Elephas maximus indicus: one gene and its partner. The protein of the gene in region 1 purifies or fractionates together with the protein of each later gene. This does not show direct contact. Links are inferred from orthologs where the notes say so. Each region holds a gene or a part of one and is shown on either strand. Other genes may lie near its edges.

What was found. Proteins that work in one complex are often made in the same cells at the same time.
Region 2: the proteins of RBBP7 (region 1) and MTF2 purify together in Homo sapiens (affinity purification with mass spectrometry; 4 studies listed by BioGRID and IntAct, counting the BioPlex papers as one, with this or other methods). This does not show direct contact. The link is inferred for Elephas maximus indicus from reciprocal best matches to the Homo sapiens genes RBBP7 and MTF2.

What each region holds. Positions count from the first base shown.
Region 1 is NC_064846.1:162,733,353-162,740,871, forward strand, and holds the start of RBBP7 (histone-binding protein RBBP7), read left to right. Parts: upstream 1-4,518; 5' UTR 4,519-4,827; coding exon 4,828-4,843; intron 4,844-5,611; coding exon 5,612-5,756; intron 5,757-7,519. UniProt on the Homo sapiens protein: Core histone-binding subunit that may target chromatin remodeling factors, histone acetyltransferases and histone deacetylases to their histone substrates in a manner that is regulated by nucleosomal DNA.
Region 2 is NC_064821.1:149,096,489-149,103,863, reverse strand, and holds the start of MTF2 (metal-response element-binding transcription factor 2), read left to right. Parts: upstream 1-4,323; 5' UTR 4,324-4,464; intron 4,465-7,375. UniProt on the Homo sapiens protein: Polycomb group (PcG) protein that specifically binds histone H3 trimethylated at 'Lys-36' (H3K36me3) and recruits the PRC2 complex, thus enhancing PRC2 H3K27me3 methylation activity.

The DNA of each region.
Region 1 (7,519 bases):
TCCAGGAAGGACATGGCTGATTGTCCCCGCTGGGGTCATGTGCCCATCCATTGGCTGGAGGAGAGCAGGCCATCCTGATGGACAGTCCTGCCAAACTATCCAGTCTGTTAAGAGTAACCCACTGACAAGAAATTTAGCATGCCGTTCACTGGAGAAGGGAGAATGGATGGTTGCCAGCAAGGACAAAAAACTTTCACTCTCCTGAACGTCAGGAAAGGCCTTCAGTTGTAAATTACAATGAATGCAGTGTATACTAAATCTTTGAATAAAAGAACCACGTGCTTGGGATGGGATACTCAGAGCAATTTTTCTGAAAGAAGGTTGTCCACAGGAAGCCTTCCCATCATCGCTTGTGGATTGGGACCAGCCCAGAAGGACTTTCTTATTCATTATTTTTCGTTGGACAAATATTTATTTACTATTCTAAGTCTAAGCCCCAGTGATTCTGGTCTAGGTCATTTCCTTTATTCACTGTCACCAATGAGGACCTTGTGTTGCTTAACATAAGTAGCTAGCACAACATCGTACGTTGGTCTTTTTGAATCCAGACAGACACCCCACGAAGGTTAAATATTAACACATTTATAAGTATAAAACAATTACTTCAGTTTACCTAATAAAAATATAATACCAAATGAAAACAAAGTACAAGCTCAAACAAGTACAGTATGTTTTCTATTATAATAATTTTCCTTTAACTCCCTCACACAATTAAACAATATTTTAAGAAAATTACCTAGAATTCTATCACACTAAGATAATTCTTTTCATTTGTCTGCATTACTCTTCTACCATTTAGTCAAATATTTTTTCCTAAAATGTGTGGGGTGTTGTTCTTTTTTTTTTTCCTGTTTACAGGAGTAATGTTGTCTACTGGAGAAATTTTTAAAATAGAGCAATATATGAAAAATAAAATAACCATTATCCATATTACCGGTACCAGGAGACGATGGCTATTAATATTTTAGCGTATTTTCTTTAGCTCCTGATGATTTGGATGAAAACAATATGACCAGAAACAAAATTGGTATTTGTTACATTCCTCTTTTGCACGTTAAATTTTCAGATTTTTTTGTAATGAGATTTGCTTTTGTAATAAGAAAAACAAGCAATAAAGGAATGTATAAGAAAGCGGGATCTCTGTATGTCTTGTTCATCCATGTGCCCCAGTTCCCAGCACACTGCTTGTGTTGGGAAAAATATTTGTGAATGGCTAAGATTTTCACAAAAAACTAGTGAGACGGGGTTGCTAATGAGAAATAATGGGTATTATTTCTCTCGCTCCCTCTCTTTTTCCTTTTAGCAAACAGTTCATTCTAGAACATACAATCAGTTCTCAATAAGCTTGTTGTCTTTATTTAAGACTGACTGGATTCCAATTTCAACTCCAACACTCAGTAGCTATGTGACCTTGGCCAGAAATTTCAGACTCTCAGACTCCCCCATCAGCTTCCTCAGCTGCACAGCGCTGGTTCAGGTGCTGGGGATTTAACAAAACAAAGGCCACACCCTCACATTTACATTCTAGGGTAGGGGAGATAGCCTAGAACAAACCTCTGTCAGGTGGTGATAACTGCTATGAAAAAAATAAAATAGAGGAATGGGGCTACAGAGTGAGCATGGGTGGGGCCAGGTGGGGAGTGTTGCTATTTTATAAAAGGTGGTCAGAGAAAGCTAAAGATTTCAAAAATATACCTAGTGTTTTTGTGCACTTCAAGTTGAGACTGATTACGATCATGAAATCAATTGAGGGTGATCTGCATATTTAAAAAAAAAAGAAAATATAAAACCCCAGAGCAAATCACAGTTTGGTGTATAACTTGTTTCAGTTTATGTACACGTGTAGTTCTCCGTGGAACACCGTTGGGGCGGCCTGGAGAAAGTGGTAGTTAACACTTAGCAATTTTGAGGCAAGGGCTCTCTGAAGTAAGACCCTCCTCACCTTGTGTGTGCACCTGCTTCTGTTTTAATTAACAGCTCTAGCTGAGTACCAAAGAGACAAAAACACTACCACAGTAACAGCGGGAGAAAAGATCAGGATCAGGGCAAAGTGGCTGGGGAGAAAGGCAAAACAAAAATGAACAGTCCAGCAATTCAAAAGAGAAAATTGGTATCACATTTTTTGTGCTAAAAGTACCTGATGGGAAAAATATTAAAAAGAGAGAGAGAGAAATGAATTGACACATCCAATTTAACAACACAAACAAAAAACCCCCCAGCAAAATCCAAAGCTAACAACTATGTCGTGCATACTTCCCGATTAAACTTACGACTACTGCCTGCGCTGACTTGACGGCAACTAACAACAACTGGGTGAATATTTTCAGAAACTTCTAACTTATTGGTTCCATAGTCCCTTCTCTGACCCTCGGTGAGGTAGGCAGTATAAAGATTTTAAAGCCCTATCATCTGGGAAGATTTCTTGTCTTTCAACCCTGTAAACATTTAATTAAAAAAAAAAGGTTTGGGAAATCATGCCTACCCATTAGAAATGAGTAAGTTATTTTAATGGGAGACTGGAAATCTCTGCCAAGCCTTTTCTTGCTGTACAGACGAGAAGGTTCGCATTGAGGCAGTAATACCCAATTATTCCAGAGCAAAGTCAGCGAGCCAAAGCTAACCCGCCGCCTGTTTTTGTATGGCCAGGAACTATGAATATTTTTAAGCGATTGGGGAACAACAAAACGAAAGAAGAATATTTTGTGACGTGAAAACTTTATAAAATTCAAATGTCAGTGTCTATAAAGTTTTATTGGAATAGCCAGGTTCATTCGCATTGTTTATGGCTGCTTTAGTGCAACAACAACGGCAGAGCTGAGTAAACCAAAAAACAAAAAACCAAACTCACTGCCATGGAGTGGATTCGGACTCAGAGCGAGTCTATAGGACGGGGTAGAACTGCCCTATAGGATTTCCAAGGAGTGCTTGGTGGATTCGAACTGCCGACCTTCTGGTTAGCAGCCGAACTGTTAACCACTATGGCAACAGGGTTTACAAACCAAAATACCAAACGCCTTGCGGTCGAGTCGATGGCGACTCATATATAAATGCCTGCAATGCCTAAAATGTTTACTATCGGGCCCTTTGGAGACAAAGTTCGCCGGATCTGGGTTCTAGAATGTGAGGGCTGTACTGCTTAAAGTACCTTCCAATCCTCTTCCCTCTCCAGCCATCACCTCAGGCAAGAAAAGATTCCTGTGCCTGACGCGGACAGAGGGCGATTTATTAATGAATTGTATAGTCAACCCAAAACACCGGACAGTAAATTTCTATATAAGGTAACAGGAGTGGCTCTGCCACCGACTTGAGTGATTTCTGGGTTTCTTCTACGATCACAAAATTGAGCATCACCCCAGCACTTGCACTGTCTCATGCGAGCGTCGCCGCGGTCACCCGCGTGAAGGCATTTGGAAAGTTGTCAAGGCAACCAGTGCTCCGAAGATACTCTTGAAGGGGGACTGCAGTTCTCTTTGCCTGTCAGTCCCTCAGCCGCCTCCCCCACCCGGCCCCTCGACTTCGGCTTCGGGCCCTGATTTTCGCCTCTAGCTTCCCCTTTCGGCTTTCCAGCCCGCGTTCTCATCCCCACACAGTCCTCGGACTACCAAATTCCCGCGTCGGGATTCAGGGGAGCTGGGCCAGCTCATTCCAGCTCTCCCGGTTCCAGCCGGTTGAGGTGAGGTCGCCCCGGGACCCCTGCAGGCAAGAAAAGTGGCTCGGCAGGGTGCGGGGCTGGGCCCGAGGCCCCTGCAGTGCAAGGAGGCCGCACTTAAAGACTTAAACGTGCAAACAAACGAACACTTTATTCCAGTCGGCCTTGGCTCCTTTGGCACCGTTTCGGCTGCCTGTGTCATCGCAGGCCGCACGTTCAGCCTAACAGGGCGGCCTGGCGGCCCTGCAGTCAGAAAACGCCCGGGGCCTCTCCCAAAGGCCCCTTCGACGCCCACAAAGCCCACCGCAGCCCGCCTGGGTCCGCCGCCGGCTCCAGGAAAGGCCAGGCCCTGCTGAAGGGGAGCCTTTCGGGGTGCACAGAATTGCAAGGGGATGACTACTGGGGAGGTTTTTGAGAGTGCACTAATTTCTCGAGAACAGAAAACACTCCCTAAGACTACGACCCTGAGTCTCTGAATTCCTCTTTCCCTCGGGCCTTGGCTTCGCTAAGGTCCTCAAGCTCCCTGCCCCCCTCTCCCGCCTCCCGCCTCCCCGCCCCCCCCAGCCGCCGCTTCAAACAACCACGCCCCGCGGCCCCAGGGCTCGCTGCCCCAAGGCTCACAGCCCCCGCGCAGCCCGGCACGCCGCGCCTCCATTCGCCCTGCCCCCTCGCCCCCATCCGCCCCCGCGGCCGGCCCTGGGAGTGCCGGGCGAGGCCTGGCGCCTGCGCCTCGCCAACTTCCTGCCGCGGAGCGCCCCGCCCACCCCCAGAAGCCTGCCCCCGAACGCCGCGCGAGACCCGCCCGCCTCACGCCATTGGTCGAGACGGAGGAGCCGTTGGCTCCCAGGACCGCCTCTCCGCCGCCTCTCACTTTTCCCAGAGCGGGTGCGCCTGCGCTCAGCTGCCTGGGCGGGCTGAGAGGCGCGGGTTGAAAAGTCTCGTTCCAAGTTTGGAGAGAGAGAGAAGAGCGCCTCAGACCTCGGTACCTGCGAGCGTGAGGAGGCAGGAAAGAAGAACGCGGCGTCTGGGGAGGACCCAGGCGGCAGGCCGGAGCTCAGGCTTCGAGAGCTCGAAGTGCGTGACGCGCCTGGGAAAGGCAGGAGCGTCTGCGGTCGAGCTGCACTTGGCTAGTGAGGGGAGTCCGAGGCGGCGGCGAGGGGCGAACGACCCGACGCAAGATGGCGAGTAAAGAGAGTAAGAGGCCCTGCGGGGCGGCGCGCGCCGGGCTGCGGGGGGCGGCGGGCGAGCCAGGCCGCGGCACGCGCCGGTGAAAGGCGCGAATCGGCGTGCGGAGCGGGGGCGGGGCCGGCGCGAGGTGGGGCGCGCGCCTCGAGGGGCCTGCGCGGGACGGGCCGCAGCGCTGAGGGCGCCGAGCACTTCCGGAGCCGGGCGCGGGGCCCAGGGGTGGGCCCCCGGCCGAGGCGCTCCCTCCGGCGTCCTCGGCGCGGGAACGGCGGCTCGCTCCACGCGCGCGCGGCGGCCGCCTCGGGTCGCGGCCCTGGTCGGCGGGCTTCGGGAGCGGGCGGGCCTATGGCTGTCCACGCGGGCGTCGTGGGAGCGGGGCCTAGCGGGGCGGGGGCCGGAGGGCAGGGGCTGATGGTTGTCCGTTCCGTGTGCATTTGTCTGTCCGAGCGGATCGGGATCCGGGTCGTCCTTTTTACACAGGTGCGAGCAGCTGTAAGAGACCGAACAATCTCTAAGGTCAGCGGCAGTTTGATGGCCGTGTAATTACCGAGATCTGTGGACGCAGGAGATACTGATCTCACAGTGCGAAAAATAAGCTGCTTGGTGTTAATATTTTCCCCACGTTCCGGAGGAGCAGTTTGTTGTTCGTGTCCAAATTCGAGAGAGGGGGGAAAGAGTAGGTTAGGTGTGGCCATCTCGGGGCGACCTCCAGTCGCTGGGTGCAGATTCTGAGTGTCGTCTCTCAGCTTAATCCTGTGGGCTTTCTCCAAATTGCAGTGTTCGAAGATACTGTGGAGGAGCGTGTCATCAATGAAGAATATAAAATCTGGAAGAAGAATACACCGTTTCTGTATGACCTGGTTATGACCCATGCTCTTCAGTGGCCGAGTCTTACGGTTCAGTGGCTTCCTGAAGTGACTAAGTAAGGGTTTCTGGCAACTTTTATTCTGCATAAATTTAACTGTCCTCATGAATTTCCTAGTTTTGGCGTTTTACACACAGAACATAAGAGGTAATGAATTGGCCCTTGAATGAGGTGATAGGTTGTGTTTTCAAAATTGAAGTGATTTATGGGATAATTTCTGATGTATAAATGTGCCATTGAAAAGGGAGAAAGAATCTGTTGACATTAATAATGTTTATAGGAAACACAAGGCATTTGACATTTCTTGGGTTTATATAGAGAGCAGTATCTGGGCCTCAGACTAGTGCATTTCTGTAAAATTTTATTGAAAAATGGCATATGTACAGAAAAAGCACACAGATTGGAAGCATATGGCTTGATAAATTTTTACAAAGTGAACACACCATGTAACCGGCACTCAAGACAAATACCTTTTAATTGGCAAAGGAAAAAAGAATTTGGCAACAGTCCACCAAAGAAAGGGTGTTGTTACTGGCTTATAGTGTGAAATACACTTTGAGATTGCTATTAGTCTTCATAAGAGTGGTCGTTTCAGCTAGTTCTTATATTTGTCTGAGTAATAATTGCTGATAGGGAGCCCTGGTGAGCAGTGGTTAAAGCACTCAGCTGCTAACCGGAAGGTCGACGGTTCAAGCCCACCAGCCTTTCCTAGGGAGAAAGACGTGGTAATCTGCTTCTGTAAAGATTATAGCGTTAGAAACCCTTTGGTGCAGTTCTCCACTGTCCTACAGGGTTGCTATGAGTCGGAATCCACTCGACGGCAAGTGGTATCGGTAATAATTGCTGACACTTACTGAGCACCTAGAACAGGGCCTGTCGCATCTGAAGAGTTTTATGTCCTATTATTTGGTGTAATCCTCACAGCAATACTATGATATAGGCACTTTTTATCGTCTCCGTTTGCTGATCAGAAAACTGAGGCTGAGCGCTTAAGTGATACGTCCGAGATCATGCAGCTGGTAAGTGCCGGAGTAGATGTAAAAACTCAGAAGACTGGCTGGCTCCAGAGTTCAGGCAGCCCCTGCGCTAGACACCCTCACTCAACCCCATTTCTGTCAGGAACGTGGCTATGTACATATTTTTAAAATTGTATTGGCTTTGGATATTGTGAGCATATAATTCAGTGAACATCTAATCAAATTCTAACCTAGAAAGAAGATTTTTGAAAGGTTATGATTTTATCTAAAATTAATTTACTTCTATAAGAACTACATTTCCCATATGCAAACATTGAGCTCCACACAGGTAGGGGCATCCATCGGTGCTCCTGAAAATCTGAGTGTAAATGTACAGATAAGGGAAGAGTAGCCACGAACCAAATAATAGAGACTTCTAAACGTTGGCAGTTGTAGCTGCCTTTGAACAGATTTTTAAAATAGAGTGACCATCATATACTTTAAAGATACGCAGGTGCTGGATTGGAGCATCCTGTGAATTTGACTCTCTCTATCTTCCTGTTAAGCAAATTTAAAACTTTTCAGCAACTTACTTCCTCTTGAATTTCTTGACTTACTCTAACATAATAGGAGAAAACAGGGGCTTTAAGGCCAGAGATCTGGGTTCAAATCCTGCCCCTGCTTCCAGGTAGCCTTGTGGCCTGGGCCAAGTTGTTAGTTTGTAATCCCTACCTGCCCAAGGTGTCTGTGAGTGGAGATGCCAATAGTGCCGACTGCCTGCACTGGAGGTAAAGCCTCTGGCACAAACTAGGTGGTAACTGTTAAATGTTACCTGTAATGTGTTTTGCTTATATTTTTTTTTAG
Region 2 (7,375 bases), on another chromosome or scaffold:
GATTTTTTAATGTATTTATGTCTTTGTTTATAAGGTGCATCTCTTGTAGACAGCATATTGATGAGTCCTAAATTTTTTGTCCATTCTGTCACTCTCCATCTGTATGGGTGGATTTAAGCCATTTACGTTCAGTGTGATTATTGATAGGTTTGCGTTTATTGCTGTCATTTTGCAGTGCTTTTTTGGTGGGGCTGATGTTTTCTTTGTTCTTTTTGCTCTTCTGTGCTGAATTCTTTTGTTTGTGGACTTTTTTCATTTCTTTTGTTTTTGTAGATTTTGTGTTTACTGAGATTTTATGTTTTTCTTCTTTGGTTTGTAGGTTTGTTGACTTTCTTATGGTTACCTTGAAATTTACCTCTGTCTTCCAAAGTTTAAACCATTCTTTTATACTTCATATCACCTTGGCTTCCTATCCATTTGACAGTTCTGTACCTACACCGTTTATTCCCTCTTTTATTGTTCTGATGTTGTCGTCATTTACAGATTGACCTCTCTGGTTCTCTTGTAAATCTTTTAATTTTGTTTTATCCTTGAGAGTTCATTATCTAGGTTGGTGTCTGGCTAATGCTGTCTTGTGTCCTAGATTCAGGTTGTCATCTGATGTTGGTGGTTCTCTAACTGAAGGACTCCCTTTAATAATTCTTGTAAGGTTGTGGTTTGGTTTTTACATATACCTTTAATTTCTGTTTGTCTGGAAATGCTCTAATTGCGCCATCATATTTGCACAAAAGTTTTGCAGGATATATTGTTCTTGGTTGGCAGTTTTTTCTTTCAAGACTTTATATATGTCATCCTATTGCCTTCTTGCCTGCATGGTTTCTTCAAAGTAATCAGAGCTTAGTCTTTTTTTTTCCCCCGTTTGTATGTGACTAGAAATGAAGTCTTGATACATGCCTCAATTTGAGTGGAGCTTGAAGACACGCTGCGAGAAATAATCTAGTCACAAAAGGGCAAATATTCTCGACCTCACTTACATAAAAAGACAAGAAAAGGCAAATATATAGATACCAAAGTTTATTAGTGGTTACCAGGGGCAGGAAGCAGGGGGAAAGATGGGATTACCCATGATGGAAAAATCACATTGATTAAGGGTCGAGTTGTACAGCCGATTATTGTAGTTGCTCCCAAGAAGTTGTACAACTGTAAAAAGTTGAGTTGGCTAAAGTGGTGAGATCAGTATATTTACAAGAGTGACAAAAAGTGTAAGTGCTTAGGTTGCTTATGTACAACCATAACCACATAGGATTTGATTCCATGGTTTGGATATCTGGTTGATTGGCCTAATAACATGTTCAGTGCTTCTGTTCTATCTCCTAGTTCCTTGTGTAGTGCCTGGGGTGTTTAAAGCTTGCAAGCGTCCATCCAAGGCAAAATAATTGGTCTCTATTCGCCTGGGGCAACAGATTAAGAAGGAGAGTCAGGAACAGAAGGAAGATATGGGATGTTTGGCTAATTGCTTCTGTGAAACAACTGCTACCTTTGCCATAAGACCAGAAGAACTGGGTGGTGCCTGGCTACCACTAGTGAACATTTTGATCAAGGATTCTATAGAAGACTCCTGATCCAAAGGGGGAAAATACAGAATGGAATTTCAAATTCCCATGGACTTCAGACTTTCTGGAGCCATGGGGGCTGGATGAACCCCTGAAATTATTGCCCTGAGATAATCTTTAAACCTTGAACCAAAAACATCCCTGACGTCTTCTTAACGCCAAACAATAGTTTAACTTAACTATTAAAAAATGCCTGCTTTGAGCATTATCCTCGTTTAAGAACTATCTATATGGTATCAGATTGTTAGGTAGGAACCTTAGTGGGCAGTGAGTTTATGTTAATGGCAAAGGAACAACTTAGAAAAGGAGGGTGAGAGTGGTTGCACAACTTGAAGAATGTAATCCGTGTCACTGAATTGTACATGTAGAAAGTGTTGAACTGGTGTATGTTTTGGTATGTATATTAACAAGAAAATATATAAATAAAATTAAAAACAATTCTTTGGGACAGTTCTACTTTGTGACATGGGATTGCTGTGAGTCGGAGTGTATTTGATAATACTCAACAACAATGATACAGCTTTACTCCCATCCACCTCCTTTGTGCTGTTATTGTCAAATATGTTACATTTCTATATAATAGAAGCTGAACAGTGTCTGCAGATGGATAGTCCAGTGCTTTTGGTTACGCAGGTCTTTTTGATTTGTTGCTATTAAAATTGTTATAACACCAGAACCTAGGGGCCATTGGGCTTATCTCGGTTGGCAACCTTGTTTCCTAACAGTAGCAGGGATGAGCAACCTTTGGAGCTCCTAACTCAGCAGAGCTAACAAGAGAAAGGAAAGGGGAATATTTAAATTAGGGACCAGGAAGGATCAAATTTTTAAGAAAACTTACGTCCACATGATTAAAATGTAAAGTCTGTTTATATTTAGTGAGTTGATGTTGTAAGTAATTACTGAAATCATTGATTGAGGAACATAGAATTTTGTTTATTGCATATATTTACCATCCCCTCACACACACAGAACATTTATCGTTACCAAATTGTCAAGGTGGAGAAAGTGGCGACTAAAGGAACACAATGGGTTGTATACTGGTGTTGGAGTCAGTCTTCCCTGGGTTCAAATTCCAGCATTTCTGCTTACTAGCTCTGAGTTAACATTAGAGCCTTGGTTTCAACCTTCATCACATTATTCTGTCACTGACATCTGAATCACTTTCCAAGAATTTGTGTAAACAGAATTCTTAGGTATTGGTGCTGTTTATTTTAGAATTATTGTTGAGCTTTGTCATTGTGTTTAATTAGTGAAAACTCTAAATTGGAAAAATGAAACAAAATAAGAAACAGTGCTTTGTTACCTTTAAGGAAGTTAATGGTGATATGTTGTTTGTGGAATGACTATAAGCTATAATGCAATTTTTTAGTATGTAGTTTTGGAGTCTTTTGCTTTAAAAGGGTGGGTATGAGTCGGAATCGACTCGACAGCACTGGGTTTGGTTTGGTTTTCGATTTGCTTTAAAAAAAGAATGCTCTTGTAATATAATTGTTATTTCAGTGTGATTTGTGAAATTGGTGGTTCTCAGTCTTTTTTATTTTTAAACTCCCAGTATGTATATTTGAGGGACTGTAACATAACTCCCATCAGTAAAAAAGGCTTGCTTCAGTAGTGATACCCTGTAGGAGGAGGGTAATGATTAACCTCCCGATGAGTGTAAATATAACCAACTACCCCCAAAGTCACTGGCGTAGTATGAACTTTAACTGTATTTGCCATAATCAAGAGATTAAAATTTAATTCATTTTTATTGTTTATCAAGTGTGTATGAAATTGTGCTGTGTAACCTCTTTAGAGAGTCCCTGGGTAGAGCAAATGGTTAAGTGCTCAACTACTAACCAACAGGTTGGCAATTCAAACCCACCCAGAGGTGCCTTGGAAGAAAAGCTTGGTGATCTGCTTCTGAAAGGACACATGGTTGAAAACCTTATGGAGCACAGTTGTACTCTGCAGCACGTGGGACTGCCATGAGTTGGAATCAACTTAATGGCAACCTTGTGTTTTTTTTTTTTTTAACTTCTTTTAGTTTATCTAAACCCAGTTATGAAATTCACATCATCCTTTGCTCCTGACCATAGCCTAGCCACCTCAAGTTACAGCTACTTTTTTGATGCTGTGTTATCTTGGCATGGTGCTGTTGCCTGGCCTCACTTAGGGTAGGCACTGACAATATTGAGAACTGCTATACTGTTATTTTAAACTACTTTGTTTTTAGAGAGTATTTGTGATCTTGAGGTACCTCTGTTCTACAACTATTCCACATCTGTCCCATGTCATCTGTTCCACATCATCTATTCCACCTCTATTCCTTCTCTACTCCGTGTCTGTTCCACCCCATTCTACCCCTGTTCCACTATTGCACATCTATTCTACACCTGCTCTATATTTTTCTGCAATTTAAGATTTTTCACAGATTAGTTTTTTAAATTAAAATATACATCATTGGCATAGGTTCTACAAGTAAGTTAGTCTAATATATGGTCTTTTATTTCTTAAACAGAGACTCTACAGGGGCAGGTAATTCACTGGTCCACAAGCGGTCTCCTTTACGCCGAAACCAAAAGGCCCCAACATCCTTGACCAAGCTGTCTTTACAGGATGGACATAAAGCCAAAAAGCCAGCATGTAAATTTGAAGAAGGTCAGGATGTCCTAGCTAGATGGTCAGATGGCTTGTTTTATCTTGGAACTATCAAAAAGGCAAGTTTCCTTAATATAAGATGTCTTTTTCTATTTTTGTAGTAAGCTTTTAGTAATCTTAAGCCTTTAAATTTAACTTCATATTTTTCATTTTTAAAGAGATTACTGTAAATATTCCTCTGTGTTACAGATAAACATACTGAAACAGAGCTGTTTCATCATATTTGAAGATAGTTCTAAATCCTGGGTTCTCTGGAAGGACATTCAAACAGGCAGGTGCCACTCTTTCTCTTGAACGTGATTTATACTAAAATGTGATTTTCTTCAACTTGTCGTCATTCTAGTGTTACCTGTTGAATACAGTAAATTAAGATAATATTTTTGAGGAGAGGTCAAAAAAATAATCATCCTTTATAGTCTCCAAGAGTTATACTCTATATAGAAGACTATAAGAAGACCAAAAATACTGTTAGAGTTGGAGGTAGATTAGAGGAAAGATGTATCACTGACTCAGAAATGTAACCTATTGTTAGGTAAAATATGACCCTTCTAAGAACTTGGAAAAAAATTCTGAGCCACTGATATGAGTAACAATTTGGGATTCAATTTAACTGTTACTTGCTAACTTCTGAGTTGGAATTGACTCGATGGCACTGGGTTTGGTTTTTTTTTGGTTTTTCCTAACTTAGTACAAAGCAATGCAGAAAGCTAATATTTATTGAGAGCATACTATTTGCCAGAAGCTTTGGGGGCATTAGAATATATTAAACCAATTTAGAGTACTAGAAATATTAATGAGAATGTTTGAAATTATTGTTTAATTATGGTTTTTTATGTTTAGATGGGAAAATGAGGCTATATTTGGGTACAAGTAAAAATGAATACAGGTATGCCTTGGTTTGGTTATAGGTACGTTTCTTGTAACGATTTCGGCTATAAATATAATTGCTGTATGCCCTTTGAATCTACTAAATATAGGTGTTTTTCAGGTATATCTTTCATGGGAAATGCTTCATTTATAAAAAAAAATTGAGTCATTATTAATAATTTGAACACTTTAGCTTCTTAATAAAGCCCAACTTTGGTTTTCCTTTTGTTGGGTTAATAGGCCTATGTTTTGTGTCTCCTCTGGTAGAAAGGAGCATAAACTTTCTTTTCTTAAAGGATAGATACCTTTCTAAAGTATTTAGCTGTTGGATCCTTTATTTGAACCCTGAGTGCAACTTTATTGTAGATTACTTGCTGTTTTTAATTTCTTGGTTTTTCTCCAAATTGTTCTCAAAGAAAAAAAATAAAAAACATTTTAAAGTGCAGCTCTACTCTGAAATGCATGAGGTCACCATGAGTTGGAATTTACTCAGCAACAATTGATTTTTTTGGTTTTAGTAAAGGAATTCCAATATTCTAATTACCATCTGTATACTTGATACTTAGGTGGGGAACTCAGTAGCTGTTTCTCCAGTAAAATGTTTTTCCAGAAAAATTTTGTATAGATTCGGAAACTGATCAGTATAAAGGACTTTAGATAGGTTTTGAATCTGAAATTGAGGTGTCAGTGAGAAAAGTTTGAACCATAAGATTTAAAGGGGTAGATGGTCTCCAACAGTGATAATACTGAGCAGATCTTAGTACCCTGCATACAGAATTATTTATTTCTAATCTTGTGAATATGGACTTCCCCCCATATAAAAGTGACAAAGAAAGAAGAAAACCAATGATGCATAGAGATGTAAAACCAAGAAAACCAAACCCAGTGCCCTTGAGTTGATTCCAACTCACAGCGACCCTATAGGACAGAGTAGAACTGCCCCATAGAATTTACAAGGAGTGCCTGGCAGATTCGAACTGCCAGTCCTTTGGTTGGCAGCTGCAGCACTTAACCGCTATGTCACCAGGGTTTCCAGAGAGATGCAAAGTTGTGAAAGTGAGGGGTCCAGACCAGCCTGTGTTCTAGTGTATCAGTTTGGTGATCTGTGGTGGCTCTTTCCTCACCGGCTCCTTTTACTGTCCCTAGAATTACAAAGGGGTACTCTTTTGCCATTTAACTCTTTGTAGCCCACAAAGAATAGCACCCATGAAACTTGGAATTGAAACTAGTAAATGAACAGTCTCCACTAGCCTTTGAGACGTGATACCTGAAAACTGCGTTAGGCAGATTTCAGTGTGGGGAGTAGCTTTAGTAGCTTTCTTCCCTGTAAGAAACCTGTTAATAATAGATATATATTAAAAAAGTAATGAATTAGCTTAACTTTCCTCATCTCATAAGATTCTTTGAAAGGTTTACATAAATAAGGATAGTATTTGATAATAGCCAGATGTTGCATTACAGCAGAAAAGTATCATGTTAAGACTACTAAATAAGTTAAAAAAGATTTCTAATACTTAATGCTACTGTGGTTTCTGTGAAAATGATACACTTGAATACCTGGTAGCAGTGTAAGTTTCTGTTTTATTACTTTAGCATTTGCATTAAACGCATAAAAATATTTACACTTCTTAATTTACCCAGAGTCTGACCTCCAACAGTTTATTTAAAAAAAAAAATTCAAAAGTTAAAAAAAGTTAGATGAAAATGTTTATTGTAGCTTTATTTTAAAAACAATATAATTTAGTATTTCCAGGGTTAAATGGTCAGCAATTGGATTTAGAGTTAAAGGAGTCTATAGAAGGCCACTAAGTTAAACTGGAAAATTCTTATAAATTTGATGATAAAAAAGCTGTATCTGAATTTCACAAGTAAATGTTATTCCCATTTCCCTCAGGATTATTTCCTGAGGTGAACACAATATTTGTTGGGTCAGCATCCCCTTTCCTGGGGAACTGCCTTCCCCTTCATGGATGCAGTGGGAGTCAAGTCAAGCACTTACCCAAGCTGAGGCCATCGATTCCTTTTCAGGGTACTGCAGATTTGAGCTGAGAGGATTTAAACTCAGTTTGGCTACTATCCTGAATGAATCCATAAACATAGAAGCTGTGGGGAGGGCACGTCCTGCCACGTTCACCAGGAAGTAGATGAAGCCTGGGAGAGGAGGGGAGAGAGGACAAGATACCAAAACAAACAAGCAAAAACCAACCAACAGACAAACACAAAAACCCAATGTGGAAACCTGCATGTCCAAGAATAGAGAAATACAGTAAATTTGATTCCGTTTACTGGATGGAATATTATATTGCCATTAGAAG